Linked DNA regions of Coturnix japonica. The protein of the gene in region 1 purifies or fractionates together with the protein of each later gene. This does not show direct contact. Links are inferred from orthologs where the notes say so. Each region holds a gene or a part of one and is shown in the gene's direction. Other genes may lie near its edges.

Evidence for each region.
Region 2: the proteins of BNIP1 (region 1) and NBAS purify together in Homo sapiens (co-immunoprecipitation; 3 studies listed by BioGRID and IntAct, with this or other methods). This does not show direct contact. The link is inferred for Coturnix japonica from reciprocal best matches to the Homo sapiens genes BNIP1 and NBAS.
Region 3: the proteins of BNIP1 (region 1) and RINT1 purify together in Homo sapiens (co-immunoprecipitation; 3 studies listed by BioGRID and IntAct, counting the BioPlex papers as one, with this or other methods). This does not show direct contact. The link is inferred for Coturnix japonica from reciprocal best matches to the Homo sapiens genes BNIP1 and RINT1.
Region 4: the proteins of BNIP1 (region 1) and USE1 purify together in Homo sapiens (co-immunoprecipitation; 4 studies listed by BioGRID and IntAct, counting the BioPlex papers as one, with this or other methods). This does not show direct contact. The link is inferred for Coturnix japonica from reciprocal best matches to the Homo sapiens genes BNIP1 and USE1.

The regions. Positions count from the first base shown.
Region 1 is NC_029528.1:11,060,886-11,066,213, forward strand, and holds the start of BNIP1 (vesicle transport protein SEC20), read left to right. Parts: upstream 1-2,110; 5' UTR 2,111-2,136; coding exon 2,137-2,244; intron 2,245-2,362; coding exon 2,363-2,670; intron 2,671-3,218; coding exon 3,219-3,320; intron 3,321-4,022; coding exon 4,023-4,141; intron 4,142-5,328. UniProt on the Homo sapiens protein: As part of a SNARE complex may be involved in endoplasmic reticulum membranes fusion and be required for the maintenance of endoplasmic reticulum organization. Also plays a role in apoptosis.
Region 2 is NC_029518.1:90,213,421-90,218,151, reverse strand, and holds part of NBAS (neuroblastoma-amplified sequence), read left to right. Parts: intron 1-469; coding exon 470-663; intron 664-2,124; coding exon 2,125-2,382; intron 2,383-3,128; coding exon 3,129-3,254; intron 3,255-4,731. UniProt on the Homo sapiens protein: Involved in Golgi-to-endoplasmic reticulum (ER) retrograde transport; the function is proposed to depend on its association in the NRZ complex which is believed to play a role in SNARE assembly at the ER. Required for normal embryonic development.
Region 3 is NC_029516.1:12,588,613-12,593,800, forward strand, and holds the start of RINT1 (RAD50-interacting protein 1), read left to right. Parts: upstream 1-1,887; 5' UTR 1,888-2,048; coding exon 2,049-2,225; intron 2,226-2,293; coding exon 2,294-2,535; intron 2,536-3,389; coding exon 3,390-3,563; intron 3,564-3,639; coding exon 3,640-3,789; intron 3,790-5,061; coding exon 5,062-5,188. Other genes in the region: PUS7 (pseudouridylate synthase 7 homolog), read left to right, coding at 244-335, 830-966. UniProt on the Homo sapiens protein: Involved in regulation of membrane traffic between the Golgi and the endoplasmic reticulum (ER); the function is proposed to depend on its association in the NRZ complex which is believed to play a role in SNARE assembly at the ER.
Region 4 is NC_029543.1:3,207,128-3,212,401, reverse strand, and holds the start of USE1 (vesicle transport protein USE1), read left to right. Parts: upstream 1-2,018; 5' UTR 2,019-2,072; coding exon 2,073-2,174; intron 2,175-2,392; coding exon 2,393-2,442; intron 2,443-3,245; coding exon 3,246-3,324; intron 3,325-3,679; coding exon 3,680-3,832; intron 3,833-4,100; coding exon 4,101-4,119; intron 4,120-4,792; coding exon 4,793-4,823; intron 4,824-5,012; coding exon 5,013-5,175; intron 5,176-5,274. Other genes in the region: MYO9B (unconventional myosin-IXb), read left to right, coding at 475-614, 880-1,007, 1,148-1,593.

The DNA.
Region 1 (5,328 bases):
AAAGTGAATCTGAACTGGTAAAAGCATCCTGAAGAGAGTTTGGATAGATCTATTTTTGTTTCTCTCAATAGCAGTCGTTTTCTATTTATATAGATGACCAGTTTTTGGATGGCCTTGCAGAATGTGGGGGTGCTCGCAAAGGGCATTTTTGAGCCCTAAACCCCTTTTTGCTAACACTTCTTTTATGGTTTATTGAACACACCGATATTTGGTGAGTTCTTTTCTTGGTTGAGAGAGACTTACTAATAAAACTATGAAGTGTGGGTGGGCTGGATTGTCTTACCATGCCAGCTGAAGCGTGATTGCATCAAGTTGCTTTGCTGCGAGGTTGATGTGAGAGTCAGGCTCAGCTGTGTTCAGTCCCTGCTCCTTTCTAGATAGCAGACCCTTTGCCACTGGTAAATAAAGCTGGGAAAAAGCTGAAACCAGAAAAACCTAAAATCCAAATGGGTGAAGGGTCTGTTAGTTGACCTAAAAGCAACCAGACACCTGCTGTCAGTACTTCTTTGATCCAAAAAGTTTCCCCCCCCACCCAACATTTATCCGCTATTTGCCTTCGTTAATAAAACAGCTTATTCACAAAATACAAAGAATGGATGTGCTTTTTCTTTTTTTTTTTCCATAAATGATTTAAATATAGCTATTTTTGAAAGCTGCAAGAGGCTTTATCAGGAATATTGTAAAGGGTTGTATATAAGTTGCCTTTAACAGAAATAGCAGATGCCATTCTGTTCCTCTGACTTGCTTGCTAGTCTTCCTGAGGTTCTGTTGAGGCGTAACCAGTTGTGTACCATGAATGTTAGGGTCTGTGTTTGGCCTTGAGACCTGAATTTCAAGAATGCATCTAATCGTTGTTATTTCGGAGGCTTCAGTTGGACTTCCCGTGTTCAGTGTGCTGCTAGATGTGGTCTTGGCTTCCTGACACAGCCATGCACAGAGCTGAAATCTGTTTTGTTTACCCCAGGGATCGTGTGAAGTACATTTCAGTTACTGCTTTGGTGACTGATTCTTTTTGTAACTGTATTAAGGGCATTAGTACGTTGAGAAAACACCACTCTTGAATATCTCCCAATACAAATTGGGACTCCTACGTGTCGTTAATGAAAGATGGCACTTTTAGGCTCTATCTTCTTTGCAATATACAAAAGTATCTCAATCTCTGTCTGATTTCCATTTCACAACGTGCCGTGTTTTTCCCCAGTGCTCCTCACATGTAGCAAAGGCATGTGTGTGCATTGTTTTACAGCCCTCAGCCTCGTAGACATCCGTGAACTTCCACAGGACTAAATGCTGGCAGTGCATTTGTTGTCTTTCTAATGAGCAGAGGAGCTAAAAGTGGAACCAGAACTATCTTAAGCCACAATCTTTCTTCATAAAAATGAAAGGCTTTTTGGATAACACCAGTGTTCCAATGCTTCCCTGCGGGTAGTTGCTCATTCCATGTCTGGATAAGTCAAGTTTGGGTGTTTATCCATCTACAGGAAGGAAAACTTTCTGTGCTGGATTTTGTATTGACAAAAGCACAATCCACCCGAGGGAAAACCTCTCAATTAAGAACTGACCCCGGGAGTAGCATTTAATTGTACTGATCTTTCATATTGTACTTTCTCCTTTGAGAAGTGACCTCAAACTTCATTGTTCGGTATCTGTGCTCGGGTGAACACGAAGGCTGATGGCACGAGGGTGGAAAAGGCAAAACATGGCATCCTCCATCACTGGCTTCCAATGGGAGCTCAGAGAAACTCCATGAAAGTCGTGTCTCTGTTAGGAAATAAACTCTCCTGTTCAAAGCATGATCTGTTCAGAGCTGCGCTGTTAGATGTTGGTTAATAGCTGTGCGATCTTTATTTTTATTTTTATTTTATTGAAAAGAGGCACAATCCCACCATTGACTTTGTTCCCTGTTCCCCACACACCTCCTCGGTCCCTCGCAACTTCTATTCAGACTCAAAATTTCATCAATGTACGCGACATCCTTTGTAATTTAAAATAAAAATCGTGGAGGAAACACTGTCTGAAATCATCGCGTGTGTTTGTGTGTTGTGTTGTGGGATGGATCCTGTGGGGGCCTGAGGCCTTTCCTATTTCCACACACTGGATGACGGGCGGGCTGTGGGGGCCAGCAGGGGGCGCTCCATGTCCCGCCTTTCCATTCCCAAGATGGCGGCGGCCGGCTCGGTGCCTGTGCGGGTGTGTCACCAGGAGATCGTCAAATTCGACCTGGAGATCAAGGCGGCCGTGCAGGTAGAGCCGCCCTCGGAGCCCCCTTTAGACGAAGGAACCCTTCGGTGCGGGTTGCGAGGCTCCCGCTGCTTGGCCCTGCTTGCCACGTAGTGCTTTAGGCCGTGCCGTTGTCTTCCAGGATATCCGGGATTGCCCGGGGCCGCTCAGCGCCCTCACGGAGCTCAACGCTGCGGTGAAGGAGAAATTCCGGCACCTCCGAGGCCGCATCCAGGTGGGGTTGTGCTGCTTGAAGCCCCCCTGGGCTCCCCTCGGGGCCGCTGCAGCTCCGCTCCCTTCCCTTGGAGCTGCAGGTGGCAGCGGTCAGCCTGATATTATTCCCGTTTTTTTGTCCAAGGAGCTGGAACAGATGGCGAGGGAGCAAGATAAAGAGTCGGAGAAACAGGCCTTGCTGCAGGAAGTGGAGAACCATAAAAAGCAAATGCTCAGGTAGGCCGTGTTTTGTAGGCTGTGTTGTGTACAGGTGCACCCAGTCCTCAGAGGTAGCTGCCTTCAGGGTGCTCTTTCAGTTCCTCTTTAGCAGACCCAGTCAGTGACACGGTGCTGCCTTTATTAAGACCAAGAGCAGGTCCTGGCACAGGTTACCCAGAGAAGTGGTTGTTCCCCATCCCTGCAGACACCCAAGGTCAGAACTGGAGGGGCTCTAGAACTGTGGGAGTCCCTATTCATTGCAGGGGGTTGGACCAGATGGCTTTTAAAGGGCCCCTTCCAACCCAAGTGATTCTGTGATCAGGGACAGAAAGAGGAGGGCTCCCATCTCCTTCCTGGCTCTCTGAGCAGGTCTGTCCGTTTGAGTGACTAAGCCTGGAATGATACACTTAGGAAATGAAAGAACAACATACTGTCACTCAGTGGTATAATGCAGAGAAAGTCTATGTGCATACATGGATCTTAGTTATGGTGACTGCTCTGTGAAAGTGATTTCTGCTTACAGGGTGTTGCCATCGCACTGCAACATTGTGCTCTTGTGATTTCAGCAATCAGGCAGCTTGGAGAAAAGCAAATCTGGCTTGCAAAATCGCTATCGACAACTCTGAGAAAGATCAGCTGCTGCAGGGAAGAGACTCCTTAAGACAAAGGTATTAAAGTGTCCCCTTGAATGATGTGAGACTTAAACAATGTTGCCATACTCACTAGTACCAATGAAAGCAATGTGATGTGCTTGAAGTGATTGGATTGTACTCAGAAAGTAGCTTTTATAGCTTTTATTGTAATGGAATGCTGTTGTCTAATTATGAAGGCTTAAACTGTGAAGAATTGTCATAATTCCAGGGCTTTTTTAGTGTTTGCATGTCAAAGCAGAGGTGAAATTGTGGTAGGCCTCATAACTTTTGTGATTTTCTTTTTTATTAATTCCTGCCAGGGTCATAAGCAAGTAGTGGATCACTGTGCAAGTTGTTTTCCTTTGTAGATGTGGATATAAGTTTGTATAACTCCTGAATGGAGAAGTTGACAAGGTTGGTGTTGTGGAGCAGCAAGGAGGATAGCTGAGGAGATGAAATGGTAGTTTGTATCAGTGCTTCCATGTCACCTTATGAAGCTGTGCCATCGTGGCTGAATGACTGCTACAGCATGAGCTCTGTGAGACTCTGAGCCGCAGTTGTTCAGGTTGATGGCTTCAGTAATTGGTGATTTCTCTTCAGTAGTTCAGCAAAGATTATCTCCAGTTCTCATGCAGTAAAACTTGCTTGTATCTTTTGTACACAGAGCACAGCTGCGCGTTCCTGCTGTACCAAAGACACTGTTCTATCCCTGAGTGTTTTCTTCTTTTGCTTTTTCAGGAAGACTACAAAGGAAAGTCTGGCAGAAAGTGCAAGTAACATCACGGAGAGTCTGATGAGCATCAGTAGGATGATGTCACAGCAAGTCCAGCAGAGCGAGGAGACTGTGCAGACCCTGGGTACAGATGGAGCTGGGCTTTGGGGTGTGGGTTGCATGGCTGAAGAACCTTTCAACTGTTCTGTTAGGGTGAGGGGAGCCAAGCTGTCATGATGCAGAGCATGGTGGAAATACACATTGCATTAGGAGAGCTTGCTCTGATGGTAATTCAGGGGTTGTTCAGCAGATCTCCTCTAACATTTGAACAGAAATACTGTTGTATGTTGCATGAAGTTTTTTTTGCTGGAGTTCTTGTTTAATGTTTGTAGAACTCAATTTTATATGAAAGCAGTTGTGGAAGGGGTGTGAATTCTCACAGAGTTAGCAGTGTGTATGATATTACTCTGTGCTACTGTCCTGACATGCGTTTGGCAACAGAGGAGTAAAGAGCACAGGTACAAGTCCATATGTAGAGAAAACAGTCTGAGTAGGAAGGCTGTTTTCACCCCGTCTCCAGCTGGGATGACTAAGAGACAAGGCAGTTGAGTGACTTGAACCCGAGGTCACTTGTTCTGTCCGCTGTGCATCAGGGACTGTGAAACCAAGACTTTAGTCAGTTATTTGGCTTAGACTCCTAAGAAGATAAATCAAGTGACCTCTCAAAATCAGTGATTCATGAACCATTTGGCTCTCTGTACTCTTGGCCTCTCACTAGCTGTGCTGTTGAGCAGAAGAGAGAGCAGTGTAAGGGCTGGGATCAATGCCACAACCTTCACCCTCTTCTGGGGGTTTCCTGACCCCATCTGAGGATGGCAGCTGGGCCCAGTTTGTTCATACAAAAGTAGCATGTTTCTTGTCCCATTAAAAAGACAGTTTGGCAGACTCTTTGTCGCCCTGTTTCTGACTGAGCATTGCTTGGAGTTTATTGAGGGAAAGATCATTTACAAATCCCAGCTGCAGATTCTGAATCAGCAGTAACAATTTCCTTGTTTTCTGGGCAAGTCGTATCCTAGTATGCAGTGAATGCATGCGGCTGGGAGGCTTTGCTTTGTCATCAGCAATGGAAGCAGCGGGTTTTCTATTTTCATTTAGACAAAATGTCCCTTTAAGATGGGACATAATGGTTTGCAAAATACTGCAGCAGTAATTCCACTGTGCTTGTTTTGATGAGCCAGACAGCACAGGGGAAGTTCGACCTTTTTTTATTCAATCAGTTCAGTGTGGAATACTACACCAACACTTGCTCTTCATGCGTTCTGTTATGGATGA
Region 2 (4,731 bases), on another chromosome or scaffold:
CTGTTTCAGGAGCCTTGTTCACAGTTGTCAGTTTTCCTCAAAAGCAGTGAAACCTTTTTTGTTTCATCAATATAATGATCTTGGTTAGAGAGACTTGACCAAGGATGTCTAGGGAAATATTAAGGAGGCGTTTATCAGCCATCTAAGATTTGTCAAGTTTTATGCAAGTGAATCAGTTTATTGTGAATTCTTTTTCCAAATTATATTAAAAAGCAAACAGATTAAATAAAAAATTAAGTTTCTTCTTCCCTCCCCTTCCCTCCTATCCTTCAGCTAACTGGAATGGTTTCACTAAACTAGCAGACATAAAATACAAATTCAGTGAACCAAGAATGTATATAAAATAATAAATGCTTGTTAAATTTAGACCATCAGATGTTAACTCTTAATAGTTGAAGCCACTGCAGTTCTTATCTGGTGTTTAAAATTGCCTTTCCTTATATGGTGCTTTCTTATTTCTTTATTTCAGATAAAGAATCTTATTACCCACTGATAGATGTAAATTGGTGGGCAGATAGTTCTGTGATCCTGGCTCGTTGCTCTGGTGCATTGACTGTGTCATCAGCCAAGACATTAAGAAACTTGCTGGGAAAGTCATGTGAGTGGTTTGAGAGTTCTCCTCAGGTCACTTCAGCTCACGATGGAGGATTTCTGAGTCTGGAGGTGAGGAATGCACATAAGCAAATATAAGGAATGCAGTAGAAGCAGTGTTCTGTTGTGTATGTTGCATGCATATATGTGCTTATTAATAAGAAAAGTGATTCTTTATCTCTAGGCAGGCAATTCTGAACCTCCTGCAATTCAGATATCTATAAAAAACTTAATTGCCAAGTAACGTGGCAATTGCACTTAACAAGTAATTGCCAAGTGTAGATGGAAAACTTCTGGAAGCCTGCATCTGAATTAAAAAGTTTTGCTGCAGGAAACAGTTTGTGTCAGCTCACTTAAAAAAACCAAAACAAAACAAGAAACTGCTTTGTTAGTGCATTTGAAGAATACTTCAAGCATCCCTCTTGTTTTGAAACAGATGCTTGCAGAGGGAGTATGTTTACGGGAAGCAAGGAATAAATCGTAATTGACCAAGCCTTGGAAGGGATCTGTTTTTTATTCACCTTTAATAGGGTTCTAGGCAGGAGTAGAACATAACTTTGGTAATGAAGTAGACCAGGAATTTTCTTTGAAAATAAGAATGCTTACACTAGAATAGATCTTAAACATCTTAAATATTTAGCTGAAATAGCTGAGTACATACCAGAGCTTTTTGCGCACATTTCTGGCAAGTTTTGTTATTTAAGAAATGAAATAGAGCCAGTGACTGGCATGTTACAGCCTATGGAAGAACAGTTTGGAAATAGATCTGCATTGAACAGGAATCCATAATTTGCTTAGCTAATAGTTGAAAACATTGTTACACTCTGAAGTAAGCTGTATAATTATACTGAGATTAAATATAGATCTGTAAACAGTAGATCTGTACTGTCTGTGGATGGTATAGGATTGAGTGTATCTAGTATAATAATGGACTACTGATAAGAAGCCTTTGCCCTTGCTTTAGTAAGAAAGTGATGAAACCTCAGATCTAGAAGACAGACCCAGTCAGGGCTTGTGGAGAGTATTACTCAAGCTGAGAAGTAAAGGGTTTACAAGCGAAAAAATGTTGATTTTGAAATTGAACTTGATCCAGGTTTATAAATACCTGAGGTGTGGGAGACATAGTGGTGAGTCTGGTCTCTTTTCAGTAGTGCGTGGGGATAGGACTAGGGGTAATGGGATGAAACGACAGCATAGGAAGTTCCACACAAATGTGCGGAAGAACTTCTTTACAGTGAGGGTGACGGAGCACTGGAACAGGCTGCCCAGGGAGGTGGTGGAGTCTCCTTCTCTGGAGATATTTAAGACTCGCCTGCCTGGACGCCTACCTGTGTGATGTGGTGTAGGGAGCCTGCTTTGGCAGGGGGGTTGGACTTGATGATCTCTAGAGGTCCCTTCCAACCCCTACAATTCTGTGATTCTGTGTGATTCTGTGAAATTTGAAGTACTGGAAGTGGACATGTACCTCATTGTCACAAAGATATACTGTGTGGAAACTTTCTATTTTACCCTTAAGAACTGTCTTCTGTGCAGTGTGAAATAAAACTAGTTCCAAAAAGACTACGCTTGGAGAGCAGACCTGGTGATGAAGATGAGGGAGAAGATGACTCTGACTCAGATGATGAAAATTCTGCTAAGGACAGATACTTCAGCTACCTGAAGCAAGGCCTATATTTTGTGACAGAAATGGAACGATTTGCTCCTCCACGGAAACGTCCACGTACAATTACAAAGAATTTCCGCCTTGTTAGCTTAAGGTCCACGACTCCAGAGGAACTTTACCAGAGAAAAGTGAGTATAAAAGGGAAGATTCCATCTCTGGTAAGGAGCTTTAATTGAACAGATTTTTTTCTTCTTCTTATTTTTTAAGACTTGCTATTTTAACACTAGGTGCGTATTTCTAAGGGCCTCATAGACAGCAGTGTATCATGTTACCTAACATAAGTTAGGTAAAACCAGCATTGTAATTGAAGTAACAGGATGTTTGCTGGTCATCATGTTTCATTAGTGTGGCCAGACTCGTTGTGCTAATGTGTTTAAAAACAATGGAAGAATGGGTGGATATATCGAATTAAATTAATTTAGCTTGTTATTATCTAGGGAATGGGTTAATCTATACCTTGATATTGCTATTATATGAATGTTTTTTGAGACGTGCCATGCATACAAAGTAGTCTTGTGACTCACTTTTATCGCATAAGAGATGTGTCTTTATTTTGAAGGCAGTACTTTGTTTAGGACACTTCAGTTCTTCTAATGATAAGCTAAAACTATAGCTATTAGAGTTTTCAGGGGGTGCTGCTGTTGTAGTGATTGCCTACACAGCTTCTTTCCTTCTTACTGGGAAGTTTGTGGTTTTCCTAGAGGTTACTATCTGGCCTGAGTTAGGAGTTCTACATATTCTAATCGTACATTATGTTTGCTTTCCTACGTGCGTAAGCACACCCATAGTAATTATCCCTCTACCTGTTTTAACACAGAGAATTAATTATTGATTGTTTAATATTGACTTTCATTTTCATGTGTTTGCTTTTTAGATTGATAATGAAGAATATGAGGAAGCTCTGTCTTTGGCTCAGGCATATGGCCTTGATTCTGATCTTGTGTATCAAAGGCAGTGGAGGAAGTCAGCTGTTAATGTTGCTTCAATTCAAGACTATTTGGTGGGTTTGTTTTTATGACTTCAGCATTTTTATTTTTATATTTTATTTTTAGAGTTGCTGTGTAATCTTTGCAGAAATCTCCATTGTGTTCTAATTTATGCAGCATAAACTAGTGGCAGTTCAGAGAGCTGTCCTGTAAGTGTAAGAGAGTGTAAATGTAAGAGAGAGAGTCATCTTGTTAATTTAACTGAAGGCCTGATCTGGAGGACTTAGAGCTTTTATCTGAAATTAGAAAATATCTCCAAGGAGAAATTTCTATCAATGTGCTTTCTCTAGTGTAATCTTGTCTTCACATGCAGCATTAGATTGTTTCCTGGGAATAAATCATAACTGCAAATATATTGCTGTTAAGAAATTTCCAGGTATTGTAGAGCTATATGGAAAGGTTAGTTTGGTATCCATAGCAAAGGCTGAATAATGAAACTTGCATCAAATCCAGCCTGTAACTAAAGCTCTTCTGTAGAATCAAACATAGTTTTTTTGTTTGATTGTTTTGGCATGAGAAAAAATAATCCAGCAGGTGAGCATTGTCAAACGGCACAACCTACCAGTGTGTGGTGGTGTAAAATCTTCCAGGATATCAAGAGAAATATATGCTGATTTTAATTTTTTTTTTTCCCAGTCATCCTATCTGTCACAAAATCTCATAGGCATGTGGAGAGATCAATACTGAAAATGACTCCGGTGCTGTTGTGGAATACGTTGAATGTATAATATCTATATCTTTATCTCCGAAACATTATATTTCTGATAGTATAATCAGCAGAGATACTAATCAGAGAACAGAAGTAGTAATTTCTGTTCTTATTGCTGTTAAGTCATCTGGCATTTGTTCATTAGCTTTGTAAAGAGTCTTAGCTTCATTACATTAACAGGACAAAGTAAAATTCATGTACTAATAAACAAAACTGTAGATGACTGTTTGTGGAGTATTTTCCTCATCTTTTTTTTGGTTCAAATCATAGAATCACAAGGTTGGAAAGGACCTACAAGATCATCTAGTCCAACCATCCTCCCTTTACCATACCTACAGAAAAACACTAAACCAGATCTCCTAGCTCCCTATTCAGCCTCTTGAACACTGCCAGGGATGGCAACTCCACCACCTCCCTGGGCAGCCATTCCAGTGCCTGACCACTCTCTGAGAGAAAACTGACAGTCATCAGATTAACTTGACATTTTCTAAGTGGTAGAAACAAATTAAGATGCTTTAACGTCTCTGGTTTTATTGTTTTGGAGTGTGACTGGAAGACTTTGTGGGGAAAAAGTATATGGGGTTATTAGTTAACAGCCAGCTTAATATGAGCCATCAGTGTGCCCAACTGGACAAGAAGGCCAGTGGTATCTTGGCTTTATATAAGAAATAGTCAGCAGGAGTAGGAAGATGGTTGTTCCTATTGGCTTGGCACTGGTGAGGCTGCATCTCAAGCACTGTATTAACTGCCCAGGAAAGTGTTGGAGTCACTGTCCTTGGAAG
Region 3 (5,188 bases), on another chromosome or scaffold:
TATAGCTGGAAATCCTGATATTCCATGGGAGGAAAGAGGTGAATTATGCAAAGAAATGTCTCACTAATACATTATTTTATATTCCACATGAAAACAGAGGCAAGTTTTGTACATAAAGCTTTACCAGTCATTGCAAGATAAATACCATCTTCTCTACTTTAATATACAACAATTCCATCTCAGTTGCATTATTGTAACTGCTGAATTTGACTAATAATAATAAATCCTATGTATGTTACGTAGGGAAGTCGTCGCATATGATGATCCTAGAATCCCATTATTTACTACGGACTTGGATAAGCTGGAAGGAAAACCTTTACCAGTTCTTCCTACAGGTAAATTGAATATATCTGTACAATCAAATTAGCATCTAGCAGTAAATCTCTATGGAACGTGTAAAGAAAAAGTGGAAGTGAGCCACAGTGTTGCTATGCTTGAATGTTTATCTGTGCTGAGCATAACAGACCACTTAGATACTTAACAGAATTCAGTGTAAATCTTTCCAGTAGCTTTGGTCACAAGGTCTTCCAACAGTGGGCTCCAGACAAAAAAGAAGAGTGGGTGGGAGTTCAGTCTGACAAAACCACCCATCTAGTTTTTGGTGAAGGCTTAGAATATCACTTCCCGCTGAAAGAAAATGTTAAATGGAAGATGGTTTACAACATTCTGCTTTACACTATGGATTGTAGACTGGGGTGTGGTGGTCGAGGCTGTTGTATGAGATCAGGGATGGCGGTGGAAAACTTTGGTCCGGTTTGGATGGCACTCAGAGTAAGCATTATTTATGTTCTTTACTTTCTTTTTGCTTTGTCTCTCCTCTTTACGATAGATGGTAAATTCCGGGCACTGAAGATGGAGTTCTCCCTTCCGCCATCCACTTACGCCACTATGGCGATCCGAGAAGTTCTGAAGATGGACACAAGCATTAAAAACCAAACGCAGCTGAACACTACCTGGTTACGCTGAGTGAACTGCTGGCACGGCCTAGATTTTAACATGTACAAAGTGTTTTCCTACTTACGTTCTGTACAAATCTTTGAAGGGTGGCAGTGAGAGATTTGTATTTTTTAAGTTTTTATTAGTGCAAGCAGTTAAATTAAGTAGTTATTAGCAAGATGCCGGTTGTAATGTAATACGGGCCTTAGTGACTGGTGCTTTGTAACGAATGGACCATGAGGTCGCTTGAGCTGTGTTGCTGCATCTCTGAGAAGCAGGCTTATGGCTTCTGACCTGGGCACATGTTCGTCTCGCTCTGTTTCAGCGAGCAGTGAATGTTTTTATCAGTTCAGCACACCTTGAGATCTCTATATTAAAGTACAGCATTAGGAAAATTAGAGCTGAGTGAAGGTACTGATGGCTGTTTGCTTCCAAGAAGCTGCTGCGGTCAGCCGGGCTGGCTGTGTGCTGCCACAGGGCACAGCTGTTTTAATTAAACACGAGCTTCTTCCGGGGAAAATGTGTGCATTTTCAGCTTCACCAAGACAAGGTACTGGGAATAGTTAACCAAACACAACGGTGTGTCAGTCCGTAGCGCCTCGCTCTGTCCCTGGCTGAGCCAGCCTGCTGCTGGGAGGCAGAACGAAGCTGCATTTTAAACGATTCTAAACCAAATAGGGAATTCGTGCTGCTTGTGTGAATAAAACGCCGTGAACGGAAGGTGCTCCCGGCTCTGTGCTCCCTGAGGTGGGGTTATGGGGGAGCTGTGTGGAAGGGGCGGGCGCGGCCATGGGGGTGGCTGAGGGGGAGGCGGGTGCGCATGCGCCTCTGGGCCCGCCCCGGCTGTGATGTGTGCGGCCTTGGGCCGCGCTGTGCTGACGCGGCGGGGCGGGGAGCGAGGGGCTGCGGGGCCGGCGGTTTGATATTGCTATTAAAGGCCTCGTTTTAAAGGCCGGCATGGCTATTAAAGGCCTCGTTTAATGTTCAGGTGAAGAGGAATCGCCCTGCGTTCCCAGGAGCCCCGTGTCCTCAGTAGGTCGGTAGTTGGTCGTGTTCCCTTAGTGGTAACCAAGTAGAAATTACGTAAATAACATTGCGGAAAAAAAGAAGGCATGGCAGCCGTTAATGTGCCGAAGAAAGAAGTCGTCAGAGATCCGGATCGCTGCGATATCCCGTACTACGTTTCAGAATTTGTGGAAAGAGAAGTTGGGAATGACTATGATTCTCTGAAGAAGCTGGGCAGCCTCATTGAGAAGCTGTCTGAAAACAAGAGGCAGCTGGAAGAACAGGTAAGTGTCTGTGCTCATTCTCCGTGTGATTTTTCTGTGTGAGGCTTAATGCATGTCTGTAAATGCAGGTTCTCACGGTTTCATCCGAAGTCCCTAAAAGAATTCAGAACGCCTTAAAGAATGCAGAGGACTCAAAACAATCTCTGAATCGGCTTCTAGAGGAAGAAACTCTCCTGTCCGATTCCATCAGCAGCCACTTAGAGAAAGCTGAGCCGTGGATGGAGGATCTCGGGGTGCTGATCAGCCAGGTGGAGGAGATTGAGCATCACCTGGCCTATCTGAAATGGATTTCCCAAATAGAAGAGTTAAGGTAAAGCCGATGTACTTATGGAGAGTTCTTACTAGTGGTATCACACAGCTTCTTCAAAGATTCAGTGTTAAATAATCACATTTAAGGAATAAACGAGAGCAGCAAGTTGTCATCTGGCCATATAAACTGTTAACGTGTTCTCTGGTGAGAACTGGAAGTTATTGCTCTGGCTTAAGGAAGAGAACAGTAACTGTGTCGATATGTGGATGGAACTCTTTCACCCACTGTAAATTATGGTGTAAGAACTAAAATAATACTGGAATATCTTGAGCGGAAATGTTACGCTTCAGACTTCGTGATTCTGAGTTTTCATTCTGGTACACTGATTTTATCGTAATGGGAATGAACAGTGCTGTTTTAGTTAATGTGATTTGTAGCTTCCTTCAGTGGAAAACTTTGTGTAATGCTTGTAAAGAATGTCAGAAATTGGAAGATTCCTTTGGGTCAGATTTTGTACAGAGAGACTTAAGTTATGAAACAACTTGGTCTGAGCTATGAAAATGTGACAGGTGTGCTGCAGTCTGAAATTTGCTTCCAGTTTTCCTCCTGGGAAGCGTGAGGAAAAGCAGATCTTTGAACAAGTTCCATAAAGAGCAGTGCTTCAAAGAACTTCGGGCCTCCCTTCTTTCCTTCTGCCTTCAGGTCTCGGTGACAGGCAACTTAAGGAACTTCACACAAAGAACTTGTTTCGTGAATCCTTGCTGTAGGATGTATGTGATGGGAGTGGTAACCTCGTTAAAGTATTTCAGATTGAGCATGTTTTCTGCCAGTTTCTCAATATGATGGTTCTTTTGTGTTATCTTTAGTGAATTTTTGTCTCAACTCTTCTTGTATTTATGTTCTTGTGTTCATAGTGATAACATTCAGCAGTATCTGATGACCAACAATGTTCCGGAGGCAGCCAGTACTCTAGCGTCTATGGCAGAACTGGATATTAAACTTCAGGAGTCATCTTGTTCTCATCTTCTTTCGTTTGTGAGATCCACTGTTAAATTTTGGCATAAAATTCTTAAGGACAAGTTGTCAAGGTACAGGACGACTCATCACTCCCTCATTTCATGTTGTGCCGTAGCTTGGTGGTAAAGTGTGTGTTTTGTGTTGCAGTGACTTTGAAGAAGTGCTGACCCAGCTTCGTTGGCCATTTGTGGGGCCACCGCAGTCTCAGGCGTTTGGCCTTACTGCGCCAGCCAACGCTTCTGATGTTTACAACAATTTAGAGGTTTTGTTCTGCCAGCTTCTGAAATTGCAAACATCGTATCCTTTAAAAGTGTAAAGAAAATTGCCTTGGGGGTGTTGGTTGGTGCTTAGCTAAACATGAGCCAGCAGTGCACCCAGGTGGCCAAGAAGGCCAATGGCATCCTGGCTTGTGTAAGAAATAGTGTTGCCAGCAGGAGCAGGGAAGTGATTGTACCCCTGTACTCAGCTCTGGTGAGGCTGCACGTTGAGTACTTTGTTCAGTTTTGGGCCATTCACCACAAGAAAAACACTGAAGCCTTGGAGTGTGTCCAGAGAAGGGCAACAAATCTGTTGAGGTGTCTGGAGCGCAAGTCTTGTGAGAAATGGCTGAGGGAAGTGAGATTGTTCTGTCTGGAGAAGAAGAGGCTCGGGGGAGACTTCAGCTCTCTCTACAACTGCTTGAATGGAGATTGGTGTAACTGGTGATAGGGTGAGGGAACTGTCTCAAGTTGTGCCGGGGGAGATTGAGGTTGAATATTAGGAACAATTTTTTCTCTGAAAGAGTGGTCAGGCATGGGAATGAGCTGCCCAGGGAGGTGGTGGAGTCACTGTCCATGGAGGTATTCAAGAAACATTCAGGTGTTGTACTAAGGGACGTGGGTTAGTGGAAGAATATTGGTGGTAGGTGGGTGGTTGGACTGGATGATCTTGGGAATCTTTCAACCTTGGTGATTCTGTGGTTCTATTCTGCGATCCTGATCTGCCTTTGAGGTAAATCAGAAGATGCTGCTCATCCTGTTCCTTTAGTTTGAGGGTAAAATCAGGCAGAGATAAAACTCAGGCTTTTTTTTCTTTCTTTTCTTTTTGTTTTTTCCCAAACAAACAAAACCCAAAACAGGAATAAATGTGGTCATGTTATGCAACGTGGCGCTGGAACAATTCTGGTTGGTTAGACCAGGCTACTTGCACCAAGGTGGGAAATCACATATTGCAAGTATTATTTTAATGAATCTTTGATAGTCCTTTACGAAACATGGATGGATGTCTCTTGGGTACAGGTTTGGGAATGATGATGGGGTTCTGTTTCTTTTCATGATAGTGATTTCCTAAACCATACTGACTTCAGTGACTTAAATTGTCATTGAATAAATAATAATTAGCAGCCAGAGTTATGTTAAATATTTTATAAAACTGAAACGTTTTGAGCATTGTTCAAATTGGAGGCATTTTATAGCTTGTGTGCCTTCGGACAGTGAGGTAGAGCTAAAACGTATTTGTTTTTGTAAACCCATTGTATTTAAATGATACTTACAGAGAAATTCAGCATTTCTCCTTGACTGTCAAACTTAGAGATGAGCTGTTAACCAAACCCAAACAGCTGCCAGAAAAGTACTCCTTACCTCCATCACCACCTGTTATCCTCCCAATACAGATCATGCTGAATCCTCTGCAGAAAAGATTCCGCTACCATTTCACT
Region 4 (5,274 bases), on another chromosome or scaffold:
CTGCCTGTGTTCAGCATGCGTGTTGTTGGTTTGGTTTTTTAATGACACCATTGCATGACTAAACTCATTACATGTGTTTTAAGTTGGTTTTAAAAGCTCTTTGAGTAATCGAGACTGCATGTATGGGGTGCAACTTTCTCTCCTGACTGCATGCAGCACTGTTCACCTGTTGTGCCTTGGCTTTGGTATTTCACAGACATTCTGAGTGGAACTTGTATGCATTAACGTACCTTATAAGTAAAACTAAGGTGAGGCTGCTGGTAAATCAAACAACCACTTCACAAAAGGTAACAATACCACAAATCAGATTAGTAGGAAAAATATATCTATTACCCTTTGAAACATTTGTATGACTAACAGCTCTCCATCCACAAGCCCTTCAACTGTCCTGCTCATTTGTCTTCCACCTTGCAGCTAGTAGCTAGTCAGGACATGGGTAGGTGTTTAGGACTGAGTCATAAATCTGTCTTACAGAGCAAAAGCCCACAGGTCAAAGGAAATGACAGTGGCAATTCAGAGCTGGGCTCTCTGCATGAAGAAGAGGAAGTTTCTGAAGCTGATAACCGAGAAAAGGAGATTCTCATTGATCGGATACAGTCAATAAAAGAAGAAAAGTAAGTCATAGCCTTAAAAACCCTGTTGTGCCCTTTGTGGTTGGTATAATACAGACAGCAAAGCACTATGCTTTTTGTCCAAAACTATCTACAGTTAGTTCATTATGTTCTACAGGCCTTTATGAAGGTGAAAATGTAAAAGCCAGGATGAGAGAAAATACTTTGAGAATTATTATTTAATGACTATATGCAGGAAGGTTTACCTCTGATAGGAGCAACCTTAAGCAGCGTTTATTTCAGAAGTGCTCTTTCTGTCCTGATGTAGGGAAGACATAACATATCGGTTACCTGAGCTTGATCAGCGAGGCTCTGATGAGGAAAATGTAGACTCTGAGACCTCAGCAAGCACAGAGAGCCTGCTAGAAGAGAGAACGGGGCGGATGGATACCGAAGGTCAGTATTAAGGTAGTGTGTGCTTTTTTTATTCTACATATTTCACTGCATCGAGCCAGGTGACCAGATGCTACCTGGTCACACCTGCTTGTATCACGTTACATTCTTATGCATGCTTTCAGTGTATTGTTTCTTTAAAGGAATTACGATTTCTGGAGTCCAGTGCTGCGCTCAGAGCTCTGACGTGCCTGCCAAAGACATTTGCACAGTGCCTTCTCTTTTGCAAACCTCTTCAAGTTCTTTGTCTGCATCCCTGGCTTCAAGACGCAGATTGTCTTTTACACTGTCCAAGATTAAGGTGCCCCGTCGAACTCCAGTGATGCCAACAGCAAACATCAAACTTCCTCCTGGGATTTTCAAATGTACCGAATCTCAGGGCAAGGCTTCAGCTGATGAAGAGTCTCCAATAGTGGTGAGACGAAGGGAGCAGCCAGCAATACGAACTGATAAAGTCCACTCTATCTACATTGCACAAGGGTCTGCAATGACCCACCCTCAGGAACTTTTAGATGAATATGAACCAACAGCAAAAGTAAAACGGAGGTTTTCAGACCCTTATTCCCACCTTGTGTGTACGGAGAAGTGAAATACTGAAGCTGTCTGGATCTTTCTGAAGTTGACTTTAGATTTTTAAGGCTTTGAAGGCTGTGAACTTATTCATGAATGTACAGGTAAAGAAAAAATAGCGTCCCGTTTCTGCTGCCGTGCCTTCTTCCATTTGCCTTACAGTGGACTTTAATGGGACCAACAGTGAGTGTGGGTCAGTGTACGTTGCCTTAATTTTGTATGTTTTTATGACGACTTTGTGCGGTTTACAGAACTGTTCGTGTTGTAATAGCCTTAACTGAGACCAAATGTACAAAAATGTTCATTAATACATTGCACTTTTTAAAAAAATACACCAAAGTTTGTGTCTATTTATCGACGTTTATTATCTGCCTGTATCTGTGCTGTGTGGGGAGCCCCGCCTACAACGGCCGAGCGTCTCCATCACCTCCCGCCCCGCCCTAAGATGGCGCCGCCCGGAAGCGGTGCTGAGGTGGCTTCCGGTGCCGGCTGTTCGCAATGGCGGCGACGCGGCTGGAGCTGAATCTGATCCGGCTGCTGAGCCGGTGCGAGGCGCTGGCGGCGGAGCGGCGGGATCCCGAGGAGTGGCGGCTGGAGAAGGTGAGGGGCGGCCCGGCCTTGTGTTGGGGAGGGACTGGCCGGGAACAGCCCTCGGCCTTCAGCAGCATCATTCTGCTCCTCGGAATAAACAGAGGTAGCCCGGTGTCAGGGCGTTAAACCCCATTGCGCTGTCAGCCGTGCTGCGGCTTCTGCCGGGATTAATATTAATATCTATCCGCAATGCTGACTCCTTTCTCTCTCTCTCCTTTCTCTCTCAGTACGTGGCCGCCCTGGAGGACATGCTGCGGGAGCTGAAGAAGCAGTGCAGGTGAGGGCTGCCAGGATCACATCGTGGCGTTGGGGCCTCACTGCCCTATTAGTATAAAAACCTCCCTGTGTGATATCTTGGAGTTCTGATGGTTTTAAAACCATTCCCCCTTGTCCTGACACTGTCTGCAGCCTCACTTTAAGTACTGGGAGGCCACAGTGAGGTTTCCTCAGAGCCTTACTTCCTTCACCATACTTTGTGCTCTCTGGTGTCACCGTGGCCCTCCTGTGGATGTATTCCAGAAGTTACATGTCTTTCCTGTGCTGGAGGATACAGTCCTCCAAATGGGGCCTCACAGGAGCAGAGCAGTGGGAGACAATTCCCTCCATGCCCTGAGCCACCCCTCCCATCCCCCATTGATGCAGCCCAAGATGCCGTTGGCCCTTCAGGCTGTAAGCACACACTGCTGGTCTGCATTCAGTTTGTCATCTACCAGCACCCACAGCTCCTCGGTAGGGCCGCTGTTAGAGCGTTCTTCACCCAGTCTGTTCACGTATCTGGGGTTGCACTGACCCGAGTGCATCAGGCAGTTGCACAGCTGTGCCATGTTCACATACACGCTTCATTCTCCTTGTCAGCCTCGGCTCTGCACAGTGTTCCTCTGCTTGGCTGTGTCCTGAGCTGCTGCAGTCACAGTGCCTCGGCAAGGTGGTTTGAGGGGGTGCAGGTATGCTCCCAACTTGAGTCTATTTCTTTCTTGAAAAAGCCCACGTTGATTAATTTGATTTGAAGACTTTTCTAAACAATGGAAATTGGTAATGCTTTACTGCTTTTCACATGTTTTTTTTTCCCAATTCTAATAGCAAGCCTGCCCCAGAACTGCTCAATGAATACACACGTAAAGTAGACTTTCTAAAGGGACTTCTGGAAGCTGAAAAACTGGTAAGATATGTTAGTTTACCTTGGAAAAACTTAAGAGATATTCTCCTCTTAAACTCTCCTTGTTGCCTTGTTCCTACGCTTGCTTTTATCTTACATCCCAAGATAACACTTGTTAAAATCTTATCAGGCAATTCTCGACAAGAGTGAATAAATATATTGTATTTTGTTGAAAGAGGGTATTGTGTGAAGTCTGAAACTTCTTCCTTCCTTCTCCAAGCTGTAGTTTGCAAAATTCCACAGCCATTCCAGCAGCTGTGGAAGTGCTCCCTAAATCCTCATTGGCCATACATCCAGGTGGCCTTACGCTACTGAATGATGTTTGTGACTCTTTCTCGTTGGTTCTTCTTACTTACAGTCTTCATCAACTGAAAAGGCACTGGCAAATCAGTTCTTAGCCCCTGGGCGTACTCCTACTACGATCAAGGAGAGAACCCCAGCTTCCAAAACGGTTCATCTGCAGACCAAGGCTCGTTGCACAGGCAAGATGAGGAGTGAGCTGCTTGGTACAGTATGTTCTGGTGCTGCTGCTTCTCTACTATTACTTTATAGATGGTCTCTTATGACATTTGGTTGCCTTTGGTGGCTGTGCCTCAGGTACATCCTAGGCTGGGGGTGGAGTCACCTTTTGTTTTTCCTATGGATAACCTAAATACTGGGCACAGGTGCCATACTGTGCATGGAGGCCCTTGAATCTGTGATTCCATGTGATTGTTCCTCATGAACCTTTTCACTGGCCCTTTGTAATCTTTTCTTTTGTTTCTCTTCCTGCCTCCCAGGATCCCTTGGCTCTCAGTGGTAAGTTCAATCTCCTTTTCTTTAATTGACCTGAATTTTATGAGTAAAGAAAGAGGAAAGTCAGGTGTTAGAGGTGTATTTCTAAATTACTGACTCACTTCTTGTCAAGATATAAGATATAAGATATAAAAGAAACACTGAATAGGTGAGAACATGAGCAGTGTTACCTGTACAGCAGAGGAGACTTGCAGGAATTCATGCTGAAACAGGTGTTTCAATTGTAGCATTAGCAAGGAGGGTTTGTGTTTGTCATTGCCAACGTTCTCTTCTGCTGTGAGCAAACCGTGTGATCTCAGGAGCTAACATACAGCCACGTTATTCACGTAGGGAACTGGTAGGATTTAATTTGTGGTTTCCATAGCTACTGTAACAGTGGCTGGAATGAGGCCAGTCTGAGTGTCCTGGAAGAGAACAGCACAGCCCATGGGCGAAGCCGAGCCCTCAGGGAAGTGATTCATCTCAGGTGTTTTATTCTCCCAACCAAACGTTTGCTGTTATGTACTGTCTTTTCCTGGTGGAAAACAGACGTTTGAAATCCACGTTCCCTGGTGTAGAACCAGGCCAACTGGGATTACATCTCTGGGAAAGAAAATCTTTCAAGGAACTTGTTTTATCAGCCTGTGATTGTGCAGTGTTGAGTAATATGCTAAAACAGCATTTATTTTTGTTCCAGATTCTGAGGAGCTGAATGTAAGGAAGCGGAAGTAAGTCAGAATTCCTTATTTTGATGCTCCGTGCCTTGGGACTGCCTTTCCCAATGACCTTAAATCACAGATACGTTCCCATTTGGGTGAAGTGCGTGTTGTTCTGTCAGAGTTGTACAACCTGAGCTGACCTCCCAGTGGTTCCCCATAAGTACAAATCCCTATTCTTCTTTCCTTGTGCTCTTGCAGAGGCCTTGTGTCTGATGAGAAGCAGTCAGCAGTGGAGCTGGATGCTGTGTTACAGCACCATCAAGACATGCAGGAGAAGTTAGCGGAGGAAATGCTGAGTTTGGCTCGCAGTCTCAAAAACAACACTTTGGCTGCTCAGAACGTGATAAAGCAAGACAACCAGGTAGCGTGTGTGACAATGCTGAACTCTTCAGTTGCAATCTAGGAGGTTAAGTCGCTCATATGTAAGAAACAAAAGCTGAGACTTCCAGATGAGGTTAGA